Caenorhabditis elegans: one gene and its partners. The protein of the gene in region 4 purifies or fractionates together with the protein of the main gene of each other region. This does not show direct contact. Each region holds a gene or a part of one and is shown on either strand. Other genes may lie near its edges. The genes, in order: idhg-1, cex-1, nduf-9 and sdhb-1.

Region 1 (7,875 bases), on a different chromosome or scaffold from region 4:
ATATTTTTCGATGAAAAAAAACTAACTTTCGCCAAAAAATGTAATGTAGAAAAGCTTATAAAAACTCATTTTTAAAGTTATTTTTGAGATTTTATAATAGCCCTTTTCAGCCGGATCTACCCACAGCTGCTCCTGTTTCAATAATTCCATCAATGTCAAATACATCGTTTCCTGAAGCTGTTCGAGACTCTGATACAGTCCCTTGTGAGCCAATTATTGGAACTTTAATTTCTGTTGGCGCACCTACGGATCCACCACCACCACCTCTTCCAAAGAAACCAACAGAAGCTTCTCCAACACAAGAGACGACTGCAACGATTCCAGTGGCTTTGGGTAAAAAGGAGAAATTGTTGAAAAAGGAGAAGAAAAAAGAGAAAAAAGATGGGAAGAAGGATAAATTAAAATTAGAAGAATATCGAGAAAAAGGATCCTCTGAACCTGAAACCGATGGATCTGAAGCTGAAATATGGACGAATGATGGAGCAACAACTTTTTCGAATAAGAAAAAGAAAAAGAGCACATTTGGATTACGATCATCACATCCATCAATTGTTGCAAATGATTTGCAGTTCTCTTCTCCAATGCCTCCAGTTGTTAAAAAATCATCCAGTCAGTTTTCAGATTTTTTGTCGGTTTTTAACAAAAAATTCTGAAAAAGAAAGTTATGAAATACGAAAAAAGAGTTTAAGATTTTTGAGTTCTTTGATTTTAAAGAAAATTTAATATTTTTGTAATGAAATTCAACCTTTTTTGATACATCTAGTCCCTACTTTTCTGAAAATAATTTATATTTTTCAAAACTTTTTTAGAGTTAATCTTTTAAAAAAGGTTAACAAACAATTTCGGAAAAACTGGAATATCCGATAATATGAAAATAGCCAAAATATGAGGCTAGGTTTCAAAAAATCAAATTTTTAAAAGAAATTTTCATATTTTTCTAATGAAATTCAATATATTTGTTTGTAAATAAAGTAATAAAGTTTCGATCTTTTCTTTTAAAAAATTTCCGATCGCTAAAAAAATAAAACTGACCAAAATTTTAAAGTTTGTTTCAAAAAGAAACTGAAATTTTTGGTTTTTTTAAACAGAATAATTTACGACGACCCTTCCGTATAGAAAAACTAATGTTTTATTTAAAATTAAAATTTACTGTTTCAGAAGATAAAAAATCGTCACTGACTGGCAAAAATGCATCATTTGTGAATACATCCTTCCAACCGGAAGATCATGATGATCCAACCGACTTGTAAACTGGAATTTTTCATATTTCTTTTTATATATTACACAATTTGTTCTTTTTAGTGATTTGCAATTCACCCTCCCCCCAAAGTTGTCGTTGTGTCAAATTTAGAATCACTTATTTTCTCAATTATTTATTTTCTTTTGGTATTTTCCCGCCAATGTACTTATGATATGTATAATATGGAATATGCTTTCCTTGTAATTTTCATATTTTGGTATCCACCCACGCATGTAGTTGTGATAGACTCAATCTCCCAGTTTCATATGCATATTTTCTGTAATTTATTAATTCTTTTTTCAACTTTTTTTCTGCAAGTTTTAGTACAATTTTTCTGACCCGAAATAAATTATTTCGAATTGAAATGTTCGATCGACATTTGATTTTGAAAAAGAACTTACAACGCATGTTGCTTTCACCAGACCATCCGGTATATTGAACTAAAATTTGTATTAGTTCAATATTTCCTAGATAGTCTGGTGAAATAAAGAATAGAATAGTTGTGGCAAAAAATGAATAATATTAAAGTGAGCTAGGGAGCATTCAAAAAGATACAGTAGCTACAGTAGTAAACTCCGCCTTTTTTCAAGCAGCTCTCAAGTATTGACTAATTAGGTTAAGAGCATATTGGTGGGGGGAGTACTTAACTTTGTGACAGTAACCTAATATTAACATTATTAACAGAGTATCGAATTTCACTAAACCAATTTTATAATATTGTACTATACTGGAAATGAGAAAAATTCAAACAATCAGAAAAAATTAAAATCCAAAGAAAATTGTGGGTACAGAGATGAGGAAGAAAGGAACAAGATAAGAGACATCAGGCGGAAACGTTCAGTCAACGGGGTCAAACAGAGAAAGAGCACAATGAGTAACGCATTATGCTACGAATCATGGATTAATCGAAAAAAAAACAGAGGAAAAGAACGTAAGGGTAAAGCTAGCCACTATGTGGGATGTTTCAAACTTTCGATTATCAGGTAGAAATTAGACACGGTAGTTGCGGTCCTCGAGCTCCTTCTCGATGAAGTCGAGTACTGATTGAACGAGTTCCGATGACTGAAAATTTATTAAATTAAAGTTTTGTAGTGCATTTTTAAAAAGTACTTATAAAGTTAATGTTCTAAAAAGTGAAGTCGTTTTGAAGTTTTGCTTAAAATCATCGAAAATGGACCATAATAACTGTAAAAAAATTTATAACATTTTTTCTATGATTTTTCCAATTTTGCAAGAATAAAAAATGTGAGTTCCGACATTTTTGCCTTTTCCGGCAATTTTTCAAATATTTTTTCCGCAAAGAAAACTTCATAAACCGAAATAAATTCGAAAACATTTCAAAAATTAGCCTAAAACTCGATAATTCATAAATTTCTTTGCGGAAAATGTATGTGTGTTTTATACCAAATACTAAAAAAACAAAATTAAGAGTAATCACTCAGTACAGCCGAAAAACGCAAAAAAACTATTCTACTTATTCGCGCGGAAATTCAGAAACACTTATCTTATTTTTTAATTTTGCAAAATATTAGAAAAATTGTATAAATTTTTAAATTACGGTCCATTTATGGATATCATCTTGAGCAAAATTCCAAAACGACTCTACTCTACTTTTAAATAAAGAAAAGGTAAGAATTTAATATATACAACTTTAGAAAATTAATGAAATTCTTACCTTAGAAGTTCCTCCAATATCAGCGGTGTGAATTCTCTTATCAACAAGCGTACGGAACAATGAATCGGAGATCATATCGGCGTGTGATTGAAGTCCGAGGAAACGAAGCATATCAACGGCGGCACGGATGAACGCAGTTGGATTGGCAAGATCTTTTCCAGCAAGAGTGGTTCCGGTGTTACGGGTTCCCTGAAAAAAACAAATGTTATTTAATATTTTCATCAATATGCTAACTGTTTCAAAGACGGCGTAATCTTCTCCAATGTTCATTCCAGAAACAAGTCCTGGACCTCCGACGAGTCCACAAGCAATGTTTGAAATGATGTTTCCATAGAGATTTGGCATTAACATAACATCGAATTGTTGTGGGCGTGAAACCTGGAAATAAATAAGGATTTTTAATTATTCGTCTTTTTTCAGAACATTTATTTTGATGAATAAATAAACAACCCACCAACTGCATGGAAGCATTATCGACAATCATAGCATTGAATTCAATATCTGGATACTCGGCCTTGGCGATATCAGTGGCTACTTTAAGGAAAAGACCGTCTCCCAACTTTTGAATGTTGGCCTTGTGAACAGCAGTAACCTTCTTTCTTCCATATTTCTTTGCGAATTGGAATGCAAAACGAGTAATTTGTTCCGATTTTTCGCGAGTAACAACCTTTAAATTTGAAATTAGGACTAAATCTCAGTTGATAATCCCAACCTTCAAAGATTCGACAACACGAGGATGTGGAGCATTAACGGCTTCGTGCTCATTTCCAGAGTACTCGCCTTCAGTATTCTCACGGATGATAACCATATCGATTCCCTAAAGCTTTTCATTTGAAATTTGTACAAATCGATTTAAAAAAATTCTTACAGTGTGTCTGCTTGGAACAGTTGGAATAGTGGAACAGTGAAGAACGTTTGCGTAAAGATTGAGTTGACGACGAAGTTCCAAGTTTCGGGAAACGAAGCTTGGGTTATCAAACTTAGTTTCAATGTTTCCCTTCAAAAAAAAAAAATTAAATTTGATTTTAATCTTTCAACAAAAATACCTTCAAAGCAACACCATTTCTCTTGATAGCAGTGATAGCCTCAGCAAGATCTTCAGATGCATCTTCCTTTGAGGTCAAATTAACCACTTCGAAATCTACTGGAGCTTGAACTGCTGAAAGGATTCTCTCGACATGATGGAGCATTTCTGGTCCAATTCCATCTCCTGGCAAGACTGTGACGTTGTGACGTCCTCCATAACGAGCCAGCTTAGTCTGAAAATTGATATTAATAGCAGATAAAAATGAATTACTTACTGTGTTAGTTTGAAGAACTGGAGAACGGAATCGGAGCATATCGGAGTTCGGTGAAGTCGCGACGAACGCCTTTTGCACGACATTCTTCGAAGAGCGAAGTGTATGACCGAGGACGTTGCTCGACATCTTGTTTTTACCTGAAATGTTAAAAAAATGGAATTTACTAGAAAAACAACAGTTTAAAAATGTACTTTTAAAAGTGCATGTCAGAATAGTAGCCAATTTTTTAAATAGAAGGGTATAGTATATTTCAAAACTTTAACAAAAAACATTAAATCTTCCCGATATCATCATTATCATTATGAAAACTCAGATTTATCACTAAACAGATAATTTTCAGAAATTATATGCACAAAAAAAGAGGGCGGAACGAGCCGACCGATTGATTTGCAAGCGCCGCACGTGTTTCTCGCAATTCCGCCGCGCGACATTTTCATTTTCGTCTTTTATGTTTATTTTGTCCATTTTCGTTCATTTCTATCTATTTCAAATATTTTTGCTTTTTCTCTCTATTTGAGGGTTCATTGGTTTGTGTTTACTTCTAGTCTAGATTGCAATTCAAGCCAACTGCCGGGGAAATCCGGGAATTCGAACAGCAGTTGGCGCTTGATTGATTTTCGCCGCCGAATTGTTGTTGCTTCGTTGTTTTGTTTTGTTGGTTGTCTCAAGCGCTTATCAGGTGATCTATTAGTGATTTTTGTGTAGAAATAAATGTCTTAGGATTGTTCTTTAAAGTTTGTTTCATTGAAAACTCTTTGAAATAGTTGTTTCATGTAGAACCTGGCACGCCTTTTTCCAAAAATAGCGTCTATTTCTTATACAGAAATCGGTATCCAAGAAATAGTTTTGGCTGAAGTTACAAAGTCTTTATTATTTTATTAACTACTATTTAAAACGTTAACTGTTACTTGATTATCTTTTTATTTGTTCGTTTTGCTGATTTACATGCTCCCGGACTGTTTCGAGAATGTTTCGCGCTATGAAACTGTTATTTTCCCCCATAGATAATTATTTTGTAGGTTGATGTAAATAATGCTTCGTCGATATTCACATTTTTACTCGATTCGATATTCTTCCACATTATTATCTACTTTAGACGGACTCACAAATCGAACAAGTGGAGATAAGTTACTCGTAAGTTGAACTATATTTTCCAATTATTTGAAAAAATTTTATTTTTCAGACTTATAGCGAGAAGTTTTCCAAATTATATGCCAATTCCACGCCAGAAACTCGAAAATCGATTTTCGTAGATCTCGTCACAAACTATGGTGTAAACAAAGAAGCCCTAAATCATGCGATTTCTCTATATTCTAAGGTTGGTTATTATCATTGACATCGTATGACCAAAAATTGTAAAGTTCAGAATGATCAAATGTACCCGGAAGTAAGAACATCAGCAACAGCTTCTTATGTGAATTTGATAAAATCAATTGGAAATTTACCGGGAGGAGTTATGCAAGTCTGTGAAATGAGGGCTAATATTTTGGTATTAAAATTAAAATAAAATTAGCATCGAATATATAATTATTTTCAGGCACTTCTAAAACGGGAAACTGACAAAACTACAACATCATATCTCCGTCACATTGAACTGGCCACTAGAGAAGTATTAACTTCATGGTTTTCTTTAGGAAATCTAAAATTGGAACGACTTACGTGGTCATCTCCTGGAGATATTCTACAGAAAGTCGCCGAATATGAGGCAGTTCATCCAGTTAGAGGACTTTCAGATTTCAGAAAACGTCTTGGTCCGTTGAGACGGTAATTATGAAATAAAAATAAAAAACTAAAATTTCATTTTCTCAGATGTTTCTATTTTTCCCACGAAGCTCTTCCCCGGAACCCACTTGTGATGGTTCACGTGGCATTAGTTGATGAGATAGCGGATAGTGTACAAGAAATCACAAAAAGAGGAGCACCGACTGGAAAAGAAGAAGATCAAACAACTGCAATTTATTATTCAATCACTTCTACACAGCCTGGTAAAATTTAAGAAATGTATTCATTACATGTTTTATTCGTTTTCAGGTCTTTCTGGTATTGATCTCGGAAATATGCTCATCAAGAAAGTCGCCACTAAACTTCAAAAAGATGTTCCATCAGTCACAACTCATTCAACATTATCTCCGATTCCTGGTTTCCGACCTTGGCTTATCAGAAATCTGAAAGGGAATTCAGAATATCGTAAGCTGTACATTTTTAGACAATTGAGTTACTTTCAATGTTTTTTCAGCTTCAATTATGAATGAAAAGGTTGTCAATTGGATTTCTGATATATCTGAAAGGGAAATGAACGAAGTAGAAGCAACCGAAACTCTACTGAAAGTCATAAGCAATGAAAAAACGAAAAAGGAGCAGCTCAATGCAATCCAGCACATTTTGATGTACGCGTGTGCTCATTATCTTTGTAATGCAAAACGAAATGGAATGGCTTTAAATTCAGTTGGTAAGCATGATTTTATCGATAAGCATTGAAAAAAAAATTATTTTAAGCAAACTTCCACATTAGAAACGGCGCAGAGTTGTATAGACTGAATTGGAATGGAGATACGAGTCATAGAGGGATCAATAACAGTTTTGGAATTATGGTAAACTACAGGTATGACTCGGTCGAACCTTTTTTGAGTCTAAAAATTTAATTTTCAGATACGATTTGGAGAAGGTTCACGAGAACAGTGCAGCTTACACTGAACACAAAAAGATGGCGATTAATCAGAAAGTTTTGGATATCTTCTGAATCTTTTCACCCAGCTCCTCATATGTATTCGAGTTTCAAGAATTTAGTCTAGTTAATGTGTCATATTATACTTGTAACAAATTCGTGTGATTGCTTGCCCAGTTTCTTGTGAATAAAATTTTCGAAATTTTAATTACTTAGTGCATTGTTTATTATGTCATAACAATAATATTAATATTAGAAAAATTGGATATTTGACAGGGATCGCGGTGCCTATAGGTACATGTTGAAAACTTGTTCGATGAAGATTTCAAAAAGATCAGTGGTGGATACCTGATAAGTTGGGTGGTTCAGAAGGGGTGAGAGAGAGAAGTATTGAAGAGAGAGATTGAGAAAACAAGAAAAATGAAAGAACACGTATCGAGTTGGGGGTTGGGACGAGAGAAGGAATAGAAAAGAAAACTTTTCAAATGGCTATTTACAGAAGAAGAAAAGCGAAGAAAAATGAGGTATTCAACCGGGGAGAATATGAATTATTATTATCCAGTGAGTGTTTTTTTGTTGATTTGAGGTTATGAAATTTTTCTTCTTTAAAAATTCTGGAATCGTACAGTCTTCTTCGGCCCAGTATTCCTCTTTGGCATTGCTGGAACGACGAGAATTGAGTCAGATGCGATGTTCAATGGATCATTCTCAATCAGTTTATGAAGATCAGAATCAGAACGACGACCGCGAAGTGGGAACTGAAAATTAAATTAAATAATTGTACTTCATTTTCAGCAGGAAAAACTAATATATACCTGGTATCTAGCATCCTTGAAATAAAGCATAGCAATAATGACCATAATAACAATTGTGACAATTGTCAAAATGGTGGCAGCTACAGTAATCCATCCAGATCGATAAACTTCTTCCTCTTCTGGCATTACTGTGGATCCTTCTTTCTGTCCGCAATTTGGGATTGCCAAGCATCCGAGTG
Region 2 (6,080 bases), 3.9 Mb from region 4:
ATTGCACCAAACTCTGATATGCGAAAATCTTTAGAAATTTCTGAAAAACTATAAAATTGCAAATCCCAAATTTAGCAATTTTACAGTTTTTCTGAAATTTTTTTCTGAAATATTTACGATATAGGCATTTTCTGTAATTATGTCCCGTGTTGCCTACAACAATTATTCAGAAATAAATTCATTGAAAACTGTCGAAGATCAATATTTTCAGTTGAACATTTTAATTCTTCAATCAATTTAAGTTGTGCATCTTTAAAAAATGAAGAACATTTCGCATTAGAGGAAATGAGAATAAAAAAAGCGAAGACACTTTCATCTGTTCAGAATTGAGATGCATAAATTGAGAGACATGTTTTTTAAATGGTTGTGGTCTCACTTTGAACGACAAAAGAAAACCAAATATTGTAAAGGAATAGTACAAATAAAAGGGAACAAGTGATACCAGCTGATGGATGTAGGTCAGCGACAAAAGACAGGAGACGTATAGTTTGATGATTATGGAACCAAACTCAGAATTTAATGTTGGAGACGCTATAAAAATTGAATTGAGAAATTGAAACCATATTCTTGAATATCTCTCAATTTGGAATTTGGAAGTAGCCGTAAAATCGGCTAGCTAGAACATAAAAGGACTGATTTGCAACCTTGACCATTCATGATATCATTTCAATAAAAGAAGAGATTCCAATGACCAATCTTCAAGAATCACAATAATCACAACAAAACTAAGCAAAAGTAACAACAAATTGTTCAGGTAGACAAGTAGACATTTGGACACATTTTGCGGGGATGTGATGACTGTATAATAAAAATAAGTGGACACTGAGAGAGAGAGGAGGTCAGCAGGAAAAAAGAACATCGAACTGCTTGACGAATTGAAATTAGAATGAGGTGTCAGGCAGGTGACGATTACATGGTTAATTATTAGTGTTCTTTTTCTTCTTTTTGTGGATGCCGATTAGTTGAAATAATTGCATGGAAAGTGAGAATTCAATGTGAATCTCTTTCTTATTATGTTTCAAGTGGTATCTGGATGGAAGCTTGTACTTTTATGAATCGAAAATTGCGCCCAAGGTTGATTTTGAGATTATTCAGTAAATTTTTGTGCTGATTATTCAGTTAATGTAGAACAGAGACGCGGATGAAAACTTTTTTAATTTCTAAAAAAAAAGACAAAATGTGGTTAAAAAGTTTGGAAAATAATTGTTATATACTTCTTGAGAGCTTATTCAAACGGAAACCAATCATAAATAGTCGAATAGTCATTTAGAAAAGAGAAACTAGTTGATGTAGAGAGATTCAAAAAGTAAAATATGCAAATGATCCGTTTCTTAGATTTAGTAAACATTTACCAAATGAAACAGGAATTGTCGAAACAATTTAGAAAAGGAGAAGGAAACATTTGTTTATTTTCCCCTTTAAATGGCGGTAGAGGTAAAACAGCAATACACATAGTACAAGGTTATACTACTTTCAAAAGAATTTGACATCCCGCCGAGAAAATGTGGTGATTATATGGTAAAGTTTTCAGTTGGATATTATCTTCTACAGACGGTGATTCAAAATGATCAAAAGGGCAAGTGGGTGGTAAGATTTGAAAAATTGAGATATAGAACGTGCGATTTTGGTAAAACTTTTTGAACACAAGGCATATTTTTGAACTTTGAAAAACGCAAAATTTAAATTTTGTTAATTACATATATTTTGAACAGATTATGAATATAAGCAAGGCTACATAAAATATGTATATTTTCTTTTTACAAATATTCGTACACTGTTAAATTTATAGAAAAATCATTTATATTCAGAAAAACCTATTTGAACAATTTTTAGTTGCTCAATAACCAATTTGCACAAATTTAGAAAATATAATGGGGGCTTTTAAAAATTTAAATCCTCAGCGAATATTCCTTTGCGATTTTTTCGAACGTTTTCTTTCAGATTAAAAAATCTGAAGCAGAAGTAAATGAACTACCATAGAAAATTCACCAAGGATCACATTTTTACAAAGCCTCCGCCCAATTGTAAACTTGGGAATTTTTGCTTGTTTTCTTTTTTTTTTCAAAAAAGGAATAGTTGTTTTAAAGTAATTTACTCCCCTATGCTTTCTCCAGCAATCAGTTGTTCTCCCCATACTTTACACAATTATCAACAACTTCACATAGAAAACAAAACAACAAATCAGAAATTCCCACCGGTCACAGTCACAGATTCCCCATGTTTTGTTCATCTCATTTCTGCAAGAAAGTGACATCGCTGCCACCCAATTCGACAAATTGTCCAAGTGGTCATCAGGAAGATATGACCTTCTTTTTAATGATAATTTAGACTACAAAGGGCGTCAAAAAAGATTCAATGATCAGGGGTAATTGCTGTAAAATGTAGTTTGTATGTGTGTTTACCGTAGCCTATAACTGTAAAAATTGGTTTTTTAAAAAGTATTTCTGAGATTAAAAGGCTCCCCAAGGATGCACGATTCTAGAAGAAAAGCGGTGATTCTAAAGTAAGTTCCAATTTCAAATTTCCTAAACTATCGCATTCTGAAATTCCCCTCTGTTCTTTTTTTTTCTCGTAAACACGATAAAGCCATTCCATTATCCATTAAATTCATTTTATTATCTTCTCCCAATCTCTGGATCCCTTGATCACTGATCGCCGGGATTGTCAGCTGGTGGTCCACTCTTTCCCACGCAGTGTCACAAAAATAATGGACGCACATGTGTTGTCTGTTATAAGTTTAGATCAGGTGGGAGACAGAGAGAAAATGGGTCAGTTGGGGTGGGAGGTAAGCTATTTTAGATATAGAAGAAATGTTTTTAGGTTATTTGATACCTGAAAACACACGTAGTTGTTTGTAAACAAGAAGTACCCTTGGAATTGAGCCAACTTTTTGAATAGGAGGAATTTTACAGTCATTACGAGTAAGGCTTTCGATAAATTATTTTTGAATTAAACAGATATCTTGACTCGCTTGGCATTTGGCTCCGGTTTCTTGCTCAGGCGCGGCTCAAAAAATATTTTTTGGCACGTTATCCCAGAGTTCAGCTTTTGCCCAAGTTTGGCCAACTTCTGATTCGCGTTAATAATTTCTGGGCCAAACTAGGGCGAGAAACTGGAGCCAAATGACGAGCGCCTCTATTTTTTGCGACACTTGTGCTCTATAATTTCTCAATTTATTGAATCTCAAATATGTTTTGAAACCGCAAAAATATAGTTACTGCTTCTAAGAGCAAAATACAATGGCTTCATTCAGCGGCTTTTCGTAAGCTTCCAGTTTTTACTGCCAAGTCTTTACTGAAAAGTCAGCAAAAAGAATTAAACCATTGTATGTTATGCTCTTTCCCTTCTAACAATCCAACCAACAAACAATCCCGAGTTTTCCCGAGCCACTATAAAAATTTAAAGTTTCTCGGAAACTTTTTATTTTACCCAAACATCTGGAGGATCATTCATCAAAATTACTTGTTTGTCATGATTTTATCTGAATTTTTATGCTCAAGCACATCTGGTGTCAGAGACAAATTAAAGGTTGTATGTTCAAAAATAATACTATATGTTGTAAAGCATTAGAAAAGTAGTGGAAAGTGAAGGGTTTTCAGAATATTTTAAGGGTGTGGGGGATGAACAATGTACATGGTATAGAGCAAGGAAAATTTAAAAGTCAATAATTCCGAAGAGATGATTTCCAACGTCAGATTTATTTGTTGAGTAGAACAACTGATGGAAGTATGTGTTCCAGGTCTCTGGCTTCATTTGTGGAACGTATTGACCTTTCTTGTCCTGAAATAATTCCTTTTAAATTAATCAAAAAAATATTTAAATCCCACCACTGAAAACTTATGGAAAGCTGCATCACACTCGGATTGATCAAATCCATATGTACTCATTCCATCGGTATACTCGGCAAGATCCATGACTCCATCACAGGAAACATCAAAAAGTTTGAACATAAAGTTCTGATAGTCCTTGAACCATTTTGGTTCAGTCTTCGCATCGGTCTTCTTCAAAAGTCCGATCCATTCATCAATCGAGATCAATTGATCCTTATCAGCATCAGCAATGGAGCACAGTCCTTCCCAGAGAGCAGCAAGAGATTTCTTGGCAAAGCCAGTTTGAACTGATTCAGCTCCGTAAATGTCACGGACTTTCTGGAAGGTTAAAAGAAAATAATAGAATTTAGAATTCTAAAAATAATTCTCACCTTGACAACCAAGTAAAAATCTCCCCAATCGACTTGATGAGAAGCATTTCTATCTGAAACATATAATTGAAAGTAAAAAAGAGTGGGAAAACTAACCAAAAAATAGTGAGAAAATGCGTTCCCACTTCTTGACAAGGAACGGATCAACATCGGAATGTTTCTTGATAAGATCTTCAATGGAAACTGCTGCTGTAGGCTTTGCAACAACCATTTCTGAAAGTATAAGATTTGACTGAAAATTATAAAATTATGAACTTGAGAAAGTCTAGAAATCAAGAAAAAATATCTAGAAATGAACATTCCATGGGTTGTGAAGATGCTTTTATCTCACTTTAGAATGTCTGACTCCGCCCCTCTGTGTACGAATTGAAGTGCTCTTTTGTGATGATCATAGCTCCTCCTTGCGGCGACGCCCGCACACAGCACGAGATATTACACGGAATACTTATGTGATTCATAGGAAACAAGGAAATCGAAAAAATAATAGGATTTTGAGGAGGTATTTTTAGATGAATGCTTATGATGTTATGATGAACCCAAGAAATTCTGAATAGACATATGTCAGAACGGGGTAGGAGCTCCAGTGTCGCTTTTGAAATAAAAAATCAAGTGGTATACTTCTCGTATATACCCTTCTGAACTAATAAAATAATTTATCTTTTGAAAAAGTTTGAAAAAGAAAAATGCCCAAAACTTGAATTTTAATGTTTTGTATTTTGAGCATATCGTTCAAACGTCGTGATCTGAAAGTAGAAAGATCTAAATATTCGTGACACAGTTTGGTTTGAAGGTCTTAGTGGTAATTTTTTATTACAGAAGCAACAAAAAGTTGACATATTTTCAGAATTTCCAAAAAAACGTTTAAAATTTCAATTTCTTCGATAGAGTTCTAAAAATTTTTTGGAACGGATTTTGTAATATCCGCTGATAACCGTTCAAGAACAATTTGAATTTTGAAATAATTTAATCAACTAGTATCCAGTGCTCTTTCTCACTGCTCCACCCATTTTTCAACCCATTTCCTTTACTCAATTTCGCCCGTTTTCCTTTTGCTCAAATGTGCCCACCAAATCATCTTTCTTCGTCTTCTTTTCTCTTATTCGGAAGGAGAAGAGGTGAAAGTAGAATACGTTTTTTTGTTGAAAAGAGAAGAGCACTGCCACTTTTCTCTTATTTCCATCCTTCTACTACCTCGTTTTACTTTCCATTTAAAAACCCGTTTAAAGTTCCAAAATTTCAATTATCTTGCTTCTGTTTGGAACACGACAAACTTTAGTTTTGTTACAGATATGTTCCGAATATCAGTTATATTTATTTGGATATTTTTACAATTGGGATACACAATAGACTATAAAGTATCAGTTTTAATTGTTTCTGAGCCGAATCAAGAAACTTTCAAAGAATTGAAAGTTTCCGTTACGGTAAGTTTTGAAATTTTTACTTTAAAAACTTACAAACTCGGCATTATAGAAGAAGCTCCAAACTTTTAAATTAGCATATTCATATTCACAAAATATCATATTTTCAACTTTTCTTCTTAATTTCTTTCAGGCGGCATTCGTGGAAGTTTTTGGAAGCACATCATATCACTTGGGGAATGACACTATTTCCGCAGCTTTTGTAGATGCAAAAAGGTTTTCGAAATTATTATTTGTTGAGCTTTTCCCCCGAGAAAGACATTTCTTATATTCAGTGGAGATAATCGTCTGGAATTGACTCAGGATATTGTGTGCAGCCAGATGCTCAATCACTCATTGGCTTCTGTTATATTTTCTCCATTACTGACATCATCTTCAAGATTTATTGATTTGGTTACATCATCAGCATATACACTTTCATTTTACAAACTTCCAGTTGTTGGAGTAATGGTTAGAGATGC
Region 3 (10,535 bases), on a different chromosome or scaffold from region 4:
AAAAAGTTGTCAAATATAAAAATGTGTAAAATTTTAAGCACTACAAATTGTTAGTTGAACATTTTTGAAAATCAAGATTTTCCGCGGAGTTATGCTTATTCCAGAGAGCCGTCCTCCTAGACGCTGCCCTACAAAACTCGTGCTCCACCGACACATCTGACTGCCTGGATTTCAAGTATGAAGATGTGAACTCAATTTTCTTCACTATTTGCTGGGATTCCAAAAACTATTCGAATGGGCTTTATATTGAAACTTTGTTCGATCAAATATTATTGTAAAAAATCGCAAAAATCCATAATTGTGTTAATTATCAAATGTAAAATTCCATGCTCAACTTTTTTACAATTTAAAGTTTTTTGATATCTCCAACCGTTAATGAGATACGGGCGTTTGAACTTGGCGAAGAGAGAGAGAAAGAGAAGGGGGAGAGACGCAGACGACGAGAGCGCGCGCGCCGCCTGCGTCTCCCCTCCCCACACTCTCTCGTCACCGCTAACTTAAAACGCATGTATCGGGAGATAACTAGGTTCGAAGTCTGAATTTTGAGATTTTTGAGTTTTGTTTTAGGAAATTAGAATTTTATTGTAACAGGAAAGGATGTATTAACTGATTTTTCTGTGAGAAAAAAGTATAAAAAAGTTTGGAAAAAATTTTTAAAAATGTCCAAAAAAATTTTTTTTAGATAACTTATACCGTGAAATTTTTTCAAATTTCCACTATTTCCAATTACTCTTTTCAAAAATACCCTCTTAATCAATTTTTTCGCTCCTTCACGCCTTCAAGCCCCTATGACGTCACCAATCCCCAGTGAAAGGGGCCCATGCCTACCCCTGCTAAAAACTACAATATACCCCTAAAACCATCCCGTGAGTAATCAAAAATCGCGTCTAGCGCAAGCTTCCGGCTGAAAAATGCAAAAATCCCAAAAAAAACCGCCCAAAATCGTGCAAAATCTCAGAAAACTGGGCGGAAGAGGACACAAATTCGCCTCTTTGGAAGAGGAAATTACGTCGTATTGTATCGAATGACACCTCTCCCGCGCAACACGATATATATAGGGGACCTTTAAATGGAATAAGACCTATTTGCTAAATTTGGAAATTTGTTGGAAAAAAAAATTTTCTAAACAAAAAAATTTTTGTTTCGGAAATTTTTTTTCCAAAAGATTTTTCCGAAATTTTCTACTATTTTTCATCTAAAATGAACGGATTAAACCACTTATGTAAGTTATTGTTGGATTCAGGACCCACGTGGCCTAGAAACCCCATATTCGGGCTCAGTGGCCTAGAAAATCCAGAAAAGTTAGGCCACGCATGGTTTTTAGCAGAAAACCGTTTTTTTTTTCAATTATGTTTCGTAGAAAACATGCATAATTTCATGGATTCCCCAAATTTTTCTTAATTTTTCAGACATGGCTGAGAAAAAAAACCGGAAAAGTTAGGCCATGGGAAATTTTTCACAAAAAGTGAAATTTTTCCGTGAAGAATCTATTTTTTTCAGTTTTAGTATGAAAAATTTGAAAAATTTCGTTGCTTTTCAATAAAAAACTAATTTTCAGACGTGGCCTAGAAAAATAACCGGAAAAGTTAGGCCACGCAGCATTTTTCTAGAAAATTGCAAATTTTTCGAGAAACGCGTTATGTCTTCACTTTTAATTTTGAAAAACGTGCTTAATTTGCTTTTTAATCAAATTTTTTCAAATTTTAAGACGTGGCCAAGAAAAACCAGCTGAAAAAATAGGCCACGAAATTTTTCTTCGAAAAGCTCCATTTTTCCGCGATTTCGCCGCTGGAAATTAACTTTCGGCCAACGTTTCTGTGAAAATTATTTTTTAAAACTCTAAATATCTGCCAAAAAACCACTGTGGCCTAAACAATTCCATTGATTTTTCCAGTATTCTTCTTACTTATCGTCACGTTTGCCGGATTTTCATTTTCCCGCCCCGACCACCATTCGAGGAACTGCAAAGTAAGTGCGCTCTAGCGAACAACGAAGCTGCAAACGCGCTCCATTGAGAATTTTGCTTAAATGGTGGAAATCTCGGGGGTTTCTGGAGATATATCGATTTTTATTCGATATTTCGCTGAAAAAAATTGAAAAATTTGAGAAAAATCATTCAAAACCCTAGTTTTTCGCCGATTTTTTCCGCATTTTTTCAAGAATTCGGAATATTTTTTGATTTCCAGGCTTACCGACGACCGGCTCTAAACGAAGTGCTCACGAGAATATGCCTACTTTGCCATGAAATGTTTTCAGTCGACCAGCCGAATCTAGCCGCCGAGTGCAGCTCGAATTGCTTCAGGAATCCGGCGTTTAACAAGTGTCTCAACTTTTTTAGGCCGAAATTTTCTCCTTTTCTGGGTTCCACGTGATAAATAAATTGGTTTTAATCGTTAAATTTGAATTTTAATTGACTAAAATTGGTTAAATCGAGAAAAAAAAAGAAAAGAACCACAGTGCGGAGTCGAACCCCGGTGTGTTGCGTGAAAGGCAAAAGAGTTACCAGCAAAGCCACAAAGCAATGTGAACGTAATTTTGAGAGGCGTATACATTGTAGCCATAAATGCTTATTATCTCGATAGCGTATAATATTAATAATTGAGAATTTTGATGTCATTTTCAGTTTAATCTACCAGTATTCTTCTGTAATTTCGCACATTTTGAAGAAATCCCTTGAAAACTTCGCATTTCTATTTAATTCAAAGATTTTAATAATTTTTCTTGAATGTAAAACAAGAAAAGTAATATTTCATTAATTTTTCAACAATTTAGATTGAAAACTCTCTTTAAAACCGCCTTTCTCACCAATTTTTGCTAATTTCAAAGCTTCTCATTCCTCCTTGGAGTACGGTCATCAATCCCCGCCCTTCCAAGTGCGCATTCGAGTCCGCAAACGTCAAACCCGACGCCATATTGCGTACAGGCCAAATTATTTATTTCGGCACCGCGTACTTCATTTTCAGCCATTTTTAGCGGTTTTTCCAGATTTTTTCGCTATTTTCGGTGCTTTTTTGATAAAAAATCGATTTTTTCGACCGGAAAAGCTATTTTTAGCTGGAAAAAATCCCGAAAAAACGCAGAAAACCCATTTAATTCTTAAAAAGTCTTTAAAAATCTTTAAAAATCTTTAAACAATTGCAAATCTCGATTTTCCTAATTTCAGCCATGCTATCAGTGTTGGGTAGATCCGGCTTGGGCGCCCGGCAGGCGGTTTCGGTCGTTGGAAGTCAGAATTTCAGCAGCGCGGTCACCTCCGCCGAAAATGCTCATCCGGAGCCACGTGTCAGCTCTCAGAGTGCTCAATTCAGAAAGGGAGCCGGTGGAAGGTACAGGAAAAGCCTAAGAATGATTTGAAACTGGAAAATGTGGAAAAAATCTAGGAAAAATTGAAAAAACATTGAAAAAAAATCAATTTTTTCCCAAAAAAAATCGTTAAAAATTCCAAATTTTTGCAGAGCCTCCTTCTCCGGCAATGTGGTGACCGTATTCGGTGCGTCAGGCTTCTTGGGACTTCCAGTTGTCAATAAATTCGCGAAAAATGGCTCACAAATCATTATTCCGTATCGCCAGGATCCGTATTACATGAGAGAGCACAAAGTGCTCGGCGAGCTCGGACAAGTCCTCTATTTTCCATTTGAGCTGATGGATGAGGAGAGCATTCGAAAGGTATTAAAATTCGTGGAAATTGAGAGAAAAATCGAGTTTTCTAGGTGAAAATCGAGAAAAATTGGATTTTTCTCTAGAAAATCCAGAAAAAATAGAGTTTTCTCAGTGAAAATCGAGAAAAAATGGGTTTTTCTTTAGAAAATTCAGAAAAAATAGAGTTTTCTCAGTGAAAATCGAGAAAAATTAGGTTTTTTCTCTAGAAAATTCCGAAAAAAAAAGAGTTTTCTAGGTGAAAATCGAGAAAAATTGGATTTTTCTCTAGAAAATCCAGAAAAAATCAATTTTTCAGGCTGTAAAGTACTCGAACGTCGTCATCAACTTGATCGGAACTCGTGTGCCGACTGGGTGAGGAAATTGCAGATTTTTGAGCGGAAAAATTCACAAAATATGCCGGAAATTCAAAAAATTCAAATTTCGCGCCGTTTTTGACCAAATAAATCACTCTTTTTCGCTGAAAATTCGAAAAAATGCCTGAAAAACCTTCAAAATGTGGAATTTAACCCTTTTTTCCTACTGAAAATTCAAAAAATAAATTTTTTTACACCAAATTATCATTCAAAATTCAAAAAAAAAGCTCTTTTTTTCCAGTTTTTTCATTGAAAAACTCAAAATTCCTCACTTTTTCCAACTGAAAATCAATTAAAAATTGAAAAATCCCCTTAAATTTTGAATTTGGCTCCACTTTTTGGCTAAAAATTTGAAAAATGTCCGAAAAATCTTCAAAATTTTGAGTTTCGCGCCGTTTTTTTCACTGAAAATTCAAAAAATATTTTTAAAAAATTCAAAAAAAACTAAATTGCTCAATTTTTCTCCAAAATTTTCGAGAAAACTGCCATTTTCTATTGAAAAATTCAAATTTCCCCACTTTTTCCTTCTAAAAATCCCAATTTTAAGCCATTTTTCCTTGCAGAAAGTACAATTACTATGACGTCAACGACACGGGAGCCCGCCGTTTGGCTCGAATTTGCAAAGAAATGGGTGTGGAGAAATTTGTGCATTTGTCGGCTCTCGGAGCAACTACACAACCACAAAAGGGACATTTTGTCGCAAAATCGCAATTTCTTCATTCAAAAGGACTCGGAGAAGTTGCTGTACGTGAAGAATTCCCAGAAGCAACAATTATTCGCCCATCTGTGATCTACGGTGAATTGGATGGATTTATTCAATATTATGTGTCAAGATGGCGAAAAACTCCATTGGATTATGTGTATTTGTACAAGAAGGGAGAAGAAACGTATAAAATGCCGATTTGGGTACGGAATTGGCCGATAATTCATGAAAAATGACCTAAAATACGTGAAAATTGGCCGAAAATGACTGAAAATGGCTGAAATTTGGCACAAAATTAAATATTTTAACGAAAAACTCACAAAAACCGAGATTTTTTGAAAATTTACGATTTTCACATTAAAAATTGTCAAAAAAATTTTATTTTCCGTTAATATTGATTAAAATTATAGAAAAATCCATTTTCAACCGAATTTTGAACGAAATTAATCAAAATTTCATAAAATACATTTTAAAAAAAGCTCAAAATACGTGAAATTCGCCAAAAATGCTGAACAATTACTTAAAATTCAAAAAAATTGAAGTAATTTGACCAAAAAACTGAATTTTAGTCAATAAAAATTCAAAAATGGCTGAAAATTGTTTGAATATTGAAAATTGGGCGAAAATTCATGAAAAATGACCTAAAATACGTGAAAATCGGCCAAAAATGACGAAAAAAAATTTTTTTTTAAAGTAGAAAATTTCATGAAAATCGAGAAAAATGGTGTAATTTGACCTAATAACTGAATTTTAAAAATAAAAAGTCGAAAATCCGTGAAAATCGGTCTAAATCTACGAAATTTCATGAAAATTCGCTTGAAATTGAGAAAAATGACTCAAAATTCATTACAATAAATCCAAATGAACTGAAAAATGTCAAAATTCATAAAAATTGGCCTAATACAAATAAAATGAGTCCAAATATTTATGAAAAGTCTCGAAATTTCATATAAAGTTGCTCAAAATACGTGAAATTCGCTAAAAATTGCTGGAATTTATTTAATTTGCTTAAAAATTAGAAAAAAATTTCAAAATTCAAGGAAATTGGCATAAGTCCGTCTAAAAATTGAATTTTAAATTTAAAAAGTCAAAAATTCCAACAAATCGGCCAAAAATTACTGAAAATTGTTCAAAATATGACCAATTTTTGTTTGAAAATCGGAAAAATTACTCAAAATTCGAGAAACGCTGTAATTTGCGAAATTTTATGAAAAAAAAGCCTTAAAACCATTTAAATTGGCCAAAAATGACTGAAAATGGCTGAAATTTGGCACAAAATTGAAAATTTTCGGAATTTCACCCAAAATTTCATAAAATTTGATAAAACTAGTCGAAAATTGGTAGAATTTCGGCAAAAATCGTATTTTCACACAGAAAATTGTCAAAAAATTGCTAAAAATGACAAATTTTGACTGAAAAACTTGAATTTTTGCTTAAATTTCATCAAAATGTAAAAATCGGTAAAATTCCAGAAAAATTCACCGAAATTTGCAAATTTTGGCTTAAAATTGTCCATTTTTGCCGAAAAAAAATTGATGGTAGGCGGCGGTAGGCATAAAGTAGGCACAATTTTTTTTTTGCGAAAAAATGCAAAAAATGTCCAAATTTCGCATATTTTGACTCAAAACCTCGGCCAAAAATGGTGTAATTTGACCTAATAACTGAATTTTAAAAATAAAAAGTCGAAAATCCGTGAAAATCGGTCTAAATCTACGAAATTTCATGAAAATTCGCTTGAAATTGAAAAAAATGACTCAAAATTCATTACAATAAATCCAAATGAACTGAAAAATGTCAAAATTCATAAAAATTGGCTTTTAATACAATTAAAATGAGTCCAAATATTTATGAAAAGTCTCGAAATTTCATATAAAGTTGCTCAAAATATGTGAAATTCGCTAAAAATTGATGGAATTTATTTAATTTGCTTAAAAATTAGAGAAAAAAAATTTCAAAATTCAAGGAAATGAGGCTTAAAGTTACCTATAAACGCTGGAATTTGCGAAATTTTATGAAAAAAAGCTTTAAAACCATTTAAATTGTCCAAAAATGACTGAAAATGGCTGAAATTTGGCACAAAACTGAAAATTTTCGGAATTTCACCCAAAATTTGATAAAACTAGTCGAAAATTGGTAGAATTTTGGCAAAAATCGTTTTCTCCTCAAAAATGTAACAAAATTTTCGATTTTCACACAGAAAATTGTCAAAAAATTGCTAAAAATGACAAATTTTGACTGAAAATCTCGAATTTTTGCTTAAATTCCATCAAAAATGATGATTTTTTCAGAAAAATTCACCGAAATTTGCAAATTTTGGCTTAAAATTGTCCATTTCTGCCGAAAAAAAATTGATGGTAGGCATAAGTAGGCACCATTTTATTGCGAAAAATGACCAAATTTTGGATATTTTGACTCAAAACCTTGAATTTTTGCCAAAATTCAATTCATTTTTCGCACAATTTCAGTAAAAATAACTCAAAATTTACCATTTTTTGCCGAATTTTCAACGAAATTGATCAAAATTTCGAGAAAATCGGCGAAAAATCACTAAAAAAATCTCGATTTTCTTGCAGGTTGCTTTTTTAGTTTTTAGTTTTAGTTTAAAAAAGAAAAATCGGCCAAAAATGAGTGAAAATTGTTCAAAATAGGCCCAATTTGTTTGAAAATTCAAAAAATTACTCGAAATACATACAATTCGGCCTAAAACTGCCTATAAACGGTGGAATTTGCGAAAATAAGCGAAATAAAAAAAAAAGCTTTAAAAACGTTTAAATTGGCCAAAAATGACAAAAAATGGCTGAAATTTGGTCCAAAATTGAAAATTTTGAAGAAAATTGACGATTTTTGACGAAAAACATACAAAAAATCGTTTAAAAATGTTATCAATTCCAATTTTCGGTAATTTCCCATATTCACTTGAAAAAAATTGTTGAAACATTGCTAAAAATGGCAAGTATATATATTGAATTTTTTGGTTAAATTCCATTAAAAAACGGTATTTTCGCGCGAAATTTCATTAAAAGGAGTGAAAATCCGTAAAATTTCAAAAAAAATTCACAGAAATTTGCAAATTTTGGCTCAAAATTTACCATTTTTTGCCGAGTTTTCAACGAAATTGATCAAAATTTCGAGAAAATTGGCGAAAAATTCCGATTTTCTTGCAGGTTGGAGACGTTGCCGCCGGAATTCAAAGTGCTGTAAATGATCCAACAGCAAAAGGACATACTTATGAATTTGTTGGACCACACTGCTATCAATTGTCTGAATTGATTGATTTCATGTACAAAAAAGCGCATTGTTTGTCTGATTTTGGATTCAGGTACCCGGTTTTTCGATTTTCCCGCCGAAAATTGGCCTAAAATGAAGGAAAATTGCTAATTTTTGGGCAAAAAAATCATGAAAATTGATAATTTTTAACGAGAAATTCATGAAAATTGGACTTAAAAATCGTGAAAACTGGGTCTCGCCACGAAAACTTTATTTTTTTCAAATTTAAAGGCACATGGGTTGTGCATCAATCAGGAAATTTTGAAAATTCGAATTCTCCTCAAAATTCTAGGCTTGTAGCTTTAATCGGGTCTCGCAACGAAAATTTCACGAGTACAGTAACCCGCGAGATATTATTCCGTGGCGAGACCTTAAAAAATCAAAAAAATCAATATTTTCACTGAAAATTGATGATTTTTAACGTGAACTTTATGAAAATTGGCTAAAAAATATAAATTTAGACGTAAAAATCGTGAAAACTACATTTTTTTTTGGGTCTCGCCACGAAAAAGTTGAAAAAAAAAAATTTCTTGAGTACAGTAACCCGCGAGGTATTGTTTCGTGGCGGCGGGACCCAGGCGTGAAATTTCGAGAAAAATCGCGAATTTTTCAATTATTTTCGTGGCGGGACCCGAGAAAAAGCTCAAATTTTTGCAGATACAAGCGTCACGGAATGCCGGATCCATATTTCATGGCTCTCACAATGGCCACCGAACTCTATGGTAAAGTGTTCAAGTGTAAAGTTCCACTCAACAGAGAATGGATGGAGTTTGTGGTAGGTTTTAGGGCTTAAAATGAGCAAAAACGCCTCAAATTTTAGATTTTTTTAATTAAAAATCGGTTTTCCGCCAAAAATCGGGCAATTTTTACGGAAAAATCCATTTTTTAAGTGAAAAACACTTAAAAAAAACTGATTTTTGAGTCAAAAAATTGGAAATTTCGGAAAGCCTACCTACGCCTGCCTTGTGCCTACCGTTGAATTGTTAAATCAGGTAGGCGTAGGCACAATTTTGAGGAATTTTTTTTGTAGAAGTGGCGGAAACAACCCGATTTTCATCAAAAAAATTCGAAAAAAATCGAAAATTTTTTCAAAATTATCGATTTTTAGTCGAAAAATGGATTTTATTGATTTTTTTTTTTGAAAAAAAAATTTAGCGAATAAAATCGATAATTTACGGAAATTATCGATTTTTTGTTGATTTTCAAAAAATCGATAAATTCCGATTTTCCGACAAAAATTCAAAATTTTCTGAAAATTATCGATTTTTTTTGCTATTTTTGTAATTTTCAGATAAAAATCGGAATTTTTTTAAAAGAAAAATCGAATATAAAATCTTAAAAAAATAAAAAAAATTTAATATTTTTAAAAATTACCGATTTTTTGTCGGAAAAGTGATTTTATCGATTTTTTGTTGAAAAATTTCCGCGGAATTTTTTTTGAAACAAAGATTTCTGAAAATTATTGATTTTTTTTTCTATTTTTCGCATTTTTCAATTGAAAATCGGAATTGTTGAAAAAAAATCGCATAGAAAAATTTCCACCGATAATTTTTGAAAATTATCGATTTTTGATTAAAAAATTCGCGAAAAAATCGATAATTTACGGAAATTATTGATTTTTTCTAATTTTGCATTTTCAGGAAGTACAATCGGACATTTTGACGGGCGAAAGAACTCTCGCCGACCTCGGAGTCCGCCGATTGACTGAATTCGAATTGGCTGGTGGACAACAAGCATTTTATCGATCATTTAATCGATATTTCGAAGAACAATATGGAGAACTTCCGGCTCCATCACTTCCACTTCGTTCACCACCACTTACCAAAAAGAACACTGGCCGAGGAGCAACTGGAATCAAGTCGGAAACGAGCAAAAATGTCGCTTTTAATTAAGATTTTTTTTAATCGATTGTTTTTTCGATTTCTGTGTTGTCTTTGGTAGTTTAAATAGAGCGATTTTAATTTTTTTTTGGTTCTAAATTTTTTTTCTAGAAAAAACTGAATTTTGTATTTATACGCGTAAATGAATCGAGAATTTTGATGGGAAAAATTGGTAGATTTGCAAAAATTCTGAAAAAAAATTATAAGAATCCTGAGAAATTATGAAAAATAAGAAAAAAGAGCACAAAAAATCAGTAAAATCAAATTTCCTTTAAAAAATCGATAATTTTCAAAAATTATCGATTTTTGTCCGAAAATGAACGAAAAATCGATAATTTTTGGTAATTATTGACTTTTTTCGGAAAAATAAACTAAATCAGATTTTAATTTGGGCTGTTCCGAAAATTAGCAAAACAAATCAATAATTCCTTTTTTTTCCGACAAAAAATGGATTTCTTTTCGAAAATTATCGATTTTTAAATAAATTTTCACACAGGAACTCTACAAAAAATAATTTAATTAATTCAATTATTGCTTTATTTTTGTATATATCCGACATGAAAGAAATTAAAAAACACAGAAAAATCGATAAAATAACCTATAAAAAATCAATCAATAAAGTATAAAAGGCGGCCGATTTCGCAGAGTCTCCCGAATTTTTTGATCTTCACT
Region 4 (7,211 bases):
CGGAAGTTAATTTTACAGTCTATAAGAAGTGACAGGCGGAAATCCAAAAGGTAAAGATTTCAATAAATCCTTATTACTGTATATTATTCTGTTAAAACAGCTGGCTCTTTTTAATCATTCGCGAGCAGGTGTATAAATTGGACACTCCCTTTTTCAAAAATTACCGCCTCGTTGGACAGTTCTCCCCCGAAAATCTAGACTATTATGAATTGACGATCGCCTATGCCTCTTCCGCCACAATATTATCAAGAATGTCCTTAATTTGGATTGATTATTCCGAGGTATTCGCGGTGCGGCGCTGAGATGTTCACTATCATAGGACAAGTATATACAAAGAAAAGGAATTTGATCGCGGTAACAAAGACTGAAGACAAGATATGGAGTCAAAGAAATGTTTCGCTAATTTTGAACAATAGAAGAACTTACAAGTCAATTCTAGTAAAACAAAATGTTCAGAAAATATATCTACTTTATTTTTAAAATAGCCCTCTAGACATGTACTTTATCAGCAGTATCATCAGATCAGCTGGTCCACATAAAAAGTACGAAGGATCAATTGGGAGTAGAGTGATGAGATTTGGACGGAAAACAGCTGGTTTTGAAGGAGGAGGGAAACGAACATGTACACATTGACAAGAAGCGTGTGAATTGGTTGACGAAGAGAATTGGATGAGAAGAGTAAGAAAAGAGAAAGATGTTCAAAAGCATAAGCAAAAGGAAGTAGCAGCTTGGGAATGGCAGGGGACCAACGTAGTGCTCAATTTGTTGTCATTGTTTAGCTTTTGAAATCTCGAATGTATTAGAAAAGCGGACAAGGTGACATTCGTCGGCTAGGCTCAATAAGAGAAATATCGACAAAAAATGCACACACATTTCCTGCATTCGAGTGGCACCAAAAGGAGGTGCTGCTGCAGTTGCCGATTTGACAAACATGGAAGCCAAATTGACGAGAACTAAAAAAAGGAGAGAGGAAGGTATTGAGGGGAGTGTTGGGAGCACCGACGTGTGAATGAATGACTGCAGCAGCTTGAACACCTGTCTGGTACACCTGGTACCGGATATGGATGTCTCGGAATATTCCCAAGAATAAATTATCAGGAAATTACTTAGATGTCGTATTCGGATGTTATAAATGGCTCAGGAGGACTATTAATTTTCAATTGCAATGTTTTTTTTGTTGAAAAATTATTGCTAATTTGGAAGAAAAAAAGTGAAAGCGGTTGACTGGTGTCCATCCATCGAACAACAACTATTTACATGGAATGAACCCGACCGATAAGAAGGCTGCGCGCGCGCCGCCGCTTCTCCTCCGGACGATATACGCGCATCCCTCTGTGTGTGTTAGAACAAACAGTGTATCCTCCTTCTTGGCCGGACGGAGGAGAAGAACTCGTCGTCGTTTTTCACTTTTTCACCCGGATTGTTGGGTTAGAGCACGGAGAGCAGGAGCAACATGCGGTTAACAAGCTCGTTAGGACGGTCATTTCGGCGACTTCTCGTTTTTGTGGCGAGTGGAAGAAAACCAACATAAAAAAGTTCGAAAGAAACATGTGAGAAAGTGTCTGAATTTTGAGATAGATTAAGTCTAATTTGCGGGAGAGAAGTGTATAGATGGAGCATCTTCAGGAAATCGGAAAGTTAGAATTTTGGAAAGAAGAAAAATAGAGTTAGAAAATAGAAAAATAGAGTTCAGGCAAGGGAAATAGTTTGAGAAAAATAGATATTCGTGATGATAATTAACATCAAAATAATTTAAATAGAATTCGAAGTAATTGAATTTGAATTGCAATTTTATCACAAATATACAAAAAGAACAAAGTTAGCAAGAGAGCATCACAGGAAAGAGAACACAGGCACGTATTCGGCAAGGACTAGGTTTCGAAATTAAATTTCAAACAAATATAAGAATTGGATCAATTTGAGCAATTGTTATCGTGTCTGATGGATTGGTACATTGTATAACACAGAAGATCCTGGAGAAACACGACTAACAAGATCTGCATCCGACATTCCCGATGAAAGAAGACGTGATCTTTGGCCATGTGGATCTGATAGACGAGCATCTGAACGAAAATAATATAATATATTTCAAGGAATACAGAAAATCTTACATTGAATAAGACGCCTCGTTTCACCGCCACCCTGAATGTAGCTGGCAGCATAAAATAGAGCTGTGAGCAGCAATAATGTTCCAAAAGTGATCATAATTCCAAATAAATCACGATTTCTGTCTTGTTTTTCAGCACATTTCCACACATCATCCCATAAATGAATTGTATCGTTCATCGTAGTCTCCACGTCGACACAAAAATCTACATCTGGAGTTGTGTAGATTTTCCAGTAATATCCAAAGAGTTCGTCAAAGGTGGTCTTGCAGAGATTACAGATTTTACTTCCATTGGTAAGATTATCATCCAGTACACCTCCAGATGTGTAATTAACAACACAATTTCTCCATTCATACATTCTGTTCTGAAATTGCATTGTCCTCTCACTGAATGACACTTCCGATTTGTTTTGCGGAAAATTCCATTTAATTGTTATGCAGGCTGAAAAATGGGAATTTATGATTTTTTTTGCCGATATACTCACAGTCACATCTGGATTTTTCCCAAATTTCTGAAGTTAAAGCTTTTGATATATCCGTACTGTACGAGAGCAGATAATTGTCATAAATAACTTGAGAGCAAGTTCGATTATCCAGGGAGTAGACATTATTCTGTAATAAAATTCATATTTTATGTGAAGACGGTTTTAAAAAATATTGTTTTCAAATTATACTCACCAGGTTTTTTGTTTCATATTCAAATTGTTTGAAATTAATGTAGTTTTGAAAGCATTTTGTGCAAACTACAGGTGGAATTGACCAGTTTGTGGCGCATGCTACCATTTCCGATTGTACAACAGCTAGTTTCTGAAATAAAGATGTTTAGTTGCATTAAATACTTCGAAGAATCTTACTTCCACATATTTTTGACAGGGTCCATCCAAATCCCAAGGATCATCAGTGATCGGCGCTGTTTCGAGCCGCTCTTCTCGAAGAGAAATCACGGAAAATATAAGTAAGCTGCAGAAAAGTATCCTTGAAAGTGAATTTACCATCTGCAAAATAATTTTTATTAAAAAGAAAGCATTTTCTAGCTTTAATATAGTTTTAAAACTAAAATAAACAAACAAATAAATAAAAAACAAAATAAATGTTTGCCCGTAAATCCACACTCAAACTATAAACAACATGCACTGCGTTATTTCGGAGTCTCGTTACAAAAAATAAATAGTCACGTCCATTATTGTCTCATGTTTTTCAACAAATTTCTTTGTATTTACATTTTAATTTCTATTAAACTTTGATTTATTGAATAAATCTCAGATGTTGGCCCGTTCGGCTCGTCTTCTGCACTCGGCGGAGCTCGCCGCCAACGCCATTCGTGCTGCTTCGGGTACGTTTTTTAATTTTGGTAATTTTCCATCAAATATGGTACTTCGTGTGGAATACTAGAAAAATTAAATATAAATTATTTAGGAAAGCATTTTTTAACGAGAAATATTAGGCTTTACCCGAGATTTCACAAGGTTTCGTGTTTTGCACGTAGGCAGCACTTTTTCAACGTTACTATTTTTTAATAAGACGACAATTTTTTATGTTCAGCTTTATTTTGTTTAATTATCTTTGAATAATTTTTCTAACATTACATGAAATTGGATATGTCAGAAAATTATATTATGTCTTCAAAAACTAAAATTTTCCATTTTACACGTAGGCACTGAAAGCTGTAAAGCTCGGTCGTGTTATTAGATGAAAAACGCAGATTTTTTTTTAAAAATCAAATACTGTTCCGTAAATATTAACCATCATTCAAAGTTCTGTTAATTTAAAAATATCAGTTTTGGAATTTCTTGAATCAAAATTTAAAATTCAAAAAATTTGAGAAAAGGGAATTTATAAATTTATAGCAAGACTTTATAATAAACAAAAATAATGTTTTGAAAAACGTTTTTTTAATTTTGTTTGAGCTCAACGTTGCAAGAATAATATTTATCCCTTAAATTCACCATTTTTAACACTATTTTATTGGAACTGTTTCAGGAGCGCCAGCTACTGCAGCGGCGGCTGAAGCCTCTTTTCCATCAACTGATGATGTAGCCGCCAAGACCAAGAAGACCGGAAACCGTATCAAGACGTTCGAGATCTATCGTTTCAACCCAGAAGCACCAGGAGCCAAGCCAACTGTGCAGGTTGATTTTCAAAGTTTTTTTTCTTTTTTTAAAATTTAATAGTTATTGTAGAAATTCGATGTTGATCTTGACCAATGCGGAACTATGATTCTCGACGCTCTCATCAAGATCAAGAATGAGGTCGATCCAACTTTGACTTTCAGAAGAAGTTGTCGTGAAGGAATCTGTGGATCCTGTGCCATGAACATCGGAGGTCAAAACACTTTGGCTTGCATCTGCAAAATCGATTCGGATACCTCAAAGAGCACCAAAATCTACCCACTTCCACATATGTTCGTTGTGAAGGTATTGTTTTAGAATCTAAAAAAAACGAATAAACCTTTTATTTTAGGACCTTGTCCCAGATATGAACCTCTTCTACGCTCAATATGCCTCTATTCAACCATGGATTCAAAAGAAGACCCCATTGACTCTTGGAGAAAAGCAGATGCACCAAAGTGTGGCTGAACGTGATCGTCTTGTAAGTTTCAGTATATTTTCTGGTGCAGAAGTATTTGAAAAAGCATAACATAATTTTTAACTCAAAAAAGTTTTAAAATGAAAAACATTCATTTTTTCAAACGAAATAAAAGTCTAAAATCAATAATTTATTCATGATTATCACAACATTATAAAGTAATTTATATATTTAGGATGGTCTCTACGAGTGTATTCTCTGTGCTTGCTGCTCCACGTCATGCCCATCCTACTGGTGGAATGCTGATAAGTACCTCGGTCCAGCTGTTCTCATGCAAGCCTACAGATGGGTCATCGATTCTCGTGATGACTACGCCACCGAACGCCTTCACCGTATGCACGACTCTTTCTCAGCTTTCAAGTGCCACACCATCATGAATTGCACAAAGACATGCCCAAAAGTTAGAGTGTTCTCTGTTTTATATCTCGACTTAAACGAATTAATTTCAGCACTTGAACCCAGCTAAGGCCATCGGAGAGATCAAATCGCTGCTTACTGGATTCACATCGAAGCCAGCCGCTGAGCCATCAGCATTTTAAATAAGAAAATTCCATTGTTTTGCCTAGATTCGATGTAATATTTAGCTCTGGTTGATCGATTGTCGCTTCTTTTCGAAATACCCGAATTATCTATCCCCGTTTTCCGATGTCTATACCACGAGCCTCCTCTTTTTGCACAATAAACGGAATTGGTAGATAACTGTAAAAATTTCGTTTGATTAAAATATAAAAGTCCCCGAAAAACATTGCACAATGAACATTCATTTCTATCAATTCAACTCTTCCTAACCTTTTCGTGTTCTTTACTCTACCGACCCAATCTGAAACAAGTATGATCCTTTGTGTGTGTCTTCCTCTCCCAGGGTCGAGACAAAAACATAATTAGTTCGATAATATGATACTGACAGGTTGGCTTGACAAGTAAGATGAGAACAGGAGGACGGAAAATTAAGACGGAAAATTAATTACGGGAAGTTAGAAAACATTGAAACTACCCGGATGCTGAGAACAAAATACAAAGGTTGTAAATATTGACAAAATTTTTTGATTTTCAGTTTGAAAAACCTTTTTTTCTTTTGAAATTTCCCATGTCAATTGCAAGAACTTTTCAATTTTCTGCTTTCAATATGTTTTCTTCACTATCATAAAACTACTATCATAGATCTATTAATTTCTTAAAAATTAGAAAAAAACTTTCGTATATTATATGTACAGACTTCAAATTTTGTCATTTTTGCGCCGAAAATACGGTATCCGGTCTCGACACGACATATTTTGTGAAATTTCAAAACGAATGCCCTTTAAAGAATACTGTAGTTCCAAACTTTATTTTCGTAGATTTTTCATAGATTTTGATTCAAAAAAATATTTATTTATTTAAAAAGGTACTGTAGTTTTGGCGCAAAACACGGGTACGGTTGCAGAAAAGTTCCGCTCGTGCCAAGACCCGAGATAGTTCGATTTATTCGGTTTATCAGTTGAGCGATTCGACTCATAATTTTTTAAAGTACTATGGGATTTGTGTATTTTTACCCCAAATTGAAAATTAAAATTGAACTTGATATGTATGTATGTAGATCAAATTTTCATACTACTGTTATGGAAACATTGGAAGGACGTGGAAACGGAATTATTATTTCTCTATAAAGTATTGTATTTATGAATAAAGGTTTTAATCACAATTTCTCGTACAATCAAACTCCTCATGTTCATAAATATCGTACAATTTTGTTTTCTTGGTCCATAATGTTTTATAATATTACGTCATGTGCAATTTCATAAAGTTATTCGAACTCTTACATTCAATTATCAATTTTGGAAACAATCTGTCACCAAAAGGCAAGCCAAGACTCTCTGGGGGATCACATAACTTCATAAACTCGCCAAATTTCGTATCTTCAAACTTGTGTATCTTGAAAAATAAACGTCTAGGAAACAAATACTCAACTGATAAAATGTTTAAAAATATTTTATATATTTTTTGCATTACTTTACAGTTTTCAATATTCAAACTATTTGTTGAGTTACACAGAGTAAAAGCCATTTTACCAAAAATCACAGGAATTTTTGAGAACTCTTCTGTTGTACCAGTCATAACTCAACATCGATTGAGTTTCAGAAGTAAAATGTTAATGAATAATAATTGCAAGATATTTTTCCACATTTTATCAGTTAGAATTTTTTTGATATTTTTATGTTCAGCCAAGTTACAGACCGTTTTTCGAAAAAATATCGACTTGAAATTTTGAACAATGATCACTTTTTTGAGGTTTCTACAATGTCCTAAAAAATCTTTCAAAAATGTTGGCTCATCTCCAAAATCGTCCTCCGCTCTGAAAAAAGAAAGTGGACCTTTGCCTTCCGAAAAATGGACGAAAAAATGAAATTGAGCTTTTTTGGTCGAAAAAAATATTTTTAGAATGCTGAGAACACGTTAAACACGAATATCATGTTTATTTTGAGATCCGGATGTTCTGAAAACGTCTGACGTAGATTTAAAAAAGCATCGATTTATTTTC

What was found.
Region 1: the proteins of sdhb-1 (region 4) and idhg-1 fractionate together in Caenorhabditis elegans (co-fractionation; one large-scale study listed by BioGRID). This does not show direct contact.
Region 2: the proteins of sdhb-1 (region 4) and cex-1 fractionate together in Caenorhabditis elegans (co-fractionation; one large-scale study listed by BioGRID). This does not show direct contact.
Region 3: the proteins of sdhb-1 (region 4) and nduf-9 fractionate together in Caenorhabditis elegans (co-fractionation; one large-scale study listed by BioGRID). This does not show direct contact.

What each region holds. Positions count from the first base shown.
Region 1 is NC_003281.10:4,565,491-4,573,365, reverse strand, and holds idhg-1 (Isocitrate dehydrogenase [NAD] subunit, mitochondrial), read right to left. Parts: upstream 4,354-7,875; 5' UTR 4,343-4,353; coding exon 4,217-4,342; intron 4,175-4,216; coding exon 3,962-4,174; intron 3,913-3,961; coding exon 3,784-3,912; intron 3,733-3,783; coding exon 3,628-3,732; intron 3,583-3,627; coding exon 3,370-3,582; intron 3,294-3,369; coding exon 3,150-3,293; intron 3,105-3,149; coding exon 2,916-3,104; intron 2,303-2,915; coding exon 2,231-2,302; 3' UTR 1,501-2,230; downstream 1-1,500. Other genes in the region: Serine/threonine-protein kinase sel-5, read left to right, coding at 111-609, 1,159-1,250; mlcd-1 (Malonyl-CoA decarboxylase, mitochondrial), read left to right, coding at 5,249-5,350, 5,400-5,534, 5,583-5,705, 5,754-5,980, 6,026-6,201, 6,248-6,403, 6,453-6,665, 6,713-6,818 and 1 more; pan-1 (P-granule-associated novel protein 1), read right to left, coding at 7,487-7,639, 7,697-7,875.
Region 2 is NC_003280.10:5,446,015-5,452,094, reverse strand, and holds cex-1 (Calexcitin-1), read right to left. Parts: upstream 4,415-6,080; 5' UTR 4,413-4,414; coding exon 4,298-4,412; intron 4,255-4,297; coding exon 4,202-4,254; intron 4,149-4,201; coding exon 3,828-4,148; intron 3,781-3,827; coding exon 3,655-3,780; 3' UTR 3,461-3,654; downstream 1-3,460. Other genes in the region: nmr-1 (LITAF domain-containing protein), read left to right, coding at 5,491-5,622, 5,753-5,835, 5,895-6,080.
Region 3 is NC_003281.10:3,241,204-3,251,738, reverse strand, and holds nduf-9 (NADH dehydrogenase [ubiquinone] 1 alpha subcomplex subunit 9, mitochondrial), read left to right. Parts: upstream 1-3,163; 5' UTR 3,164-3,165; coding exon 3,166-3,326; intron 3,327-3,455; coding exon 3,456-3,666; intron 3,667-3,955; coding exon 3,956-4,011; intron 4,012-4,576; coding exon 4,577-4,919; intron 4,920-7,880; coding exon 7,881-8,035; intron 8,036-8,640; coding exon 8,641-8,758; intron 8,759-9,623; coding exon 9,624-9,875; 3' UTR 9,876-10,022; downstream 10,023-10,535. Other genes in the region: Y53G8AL.3 (CUB domain-containing protein), read left to right, coding at 105-278; Y53G8AL.4 (Apple domain-containing protein), read left to right, coding at 1,201-1,222, 1,895-1,968, 2,187-2,372; Y53G8AL.1 (FHA domain-containing protein), read right to left, coding at 10,476-10,535.
Region 4 is NC_003280.10:9,348,891-9,356,101, reverse strand, and holds sdhb-1 (Succinate dehydrogenase [ubiquinone] iron-sulfur subunit, mitochondrial), read left to right. Parts: upstream 1-3,370; coding exon 3,371-3,440; intron 3,441-4,087; coding exon 4,088-4,236; intron 4,237-4,287; coding exon 4,288-4,521; intron 4,522-4,567; coding exon 4,568-4,696; intron 4,697-4,868; coding exon 4,869-5,093; intron 5,094-5,142; coding exon 5,143-5,232; 3' UTR 5,233-5,388; downstream 5,389-7,211. Other genes in the region: cup-15 (Coelomocyte uptake defective protein 15), read right to left, coding at 1,930-2,063, 2,112-2,549, 2,593-2,719, 2,786-2,914, 2,962-3,102. UniProt on the Caenorhabditis elegans protein: Iron-sulfur protein (IP) subunit of succinate dehydrogenase (SDH) that is involved in complex II of the mitochondrial electron transport chain and is responsible for transferring electrons from succinate to ubiquinone (coenzyme Q).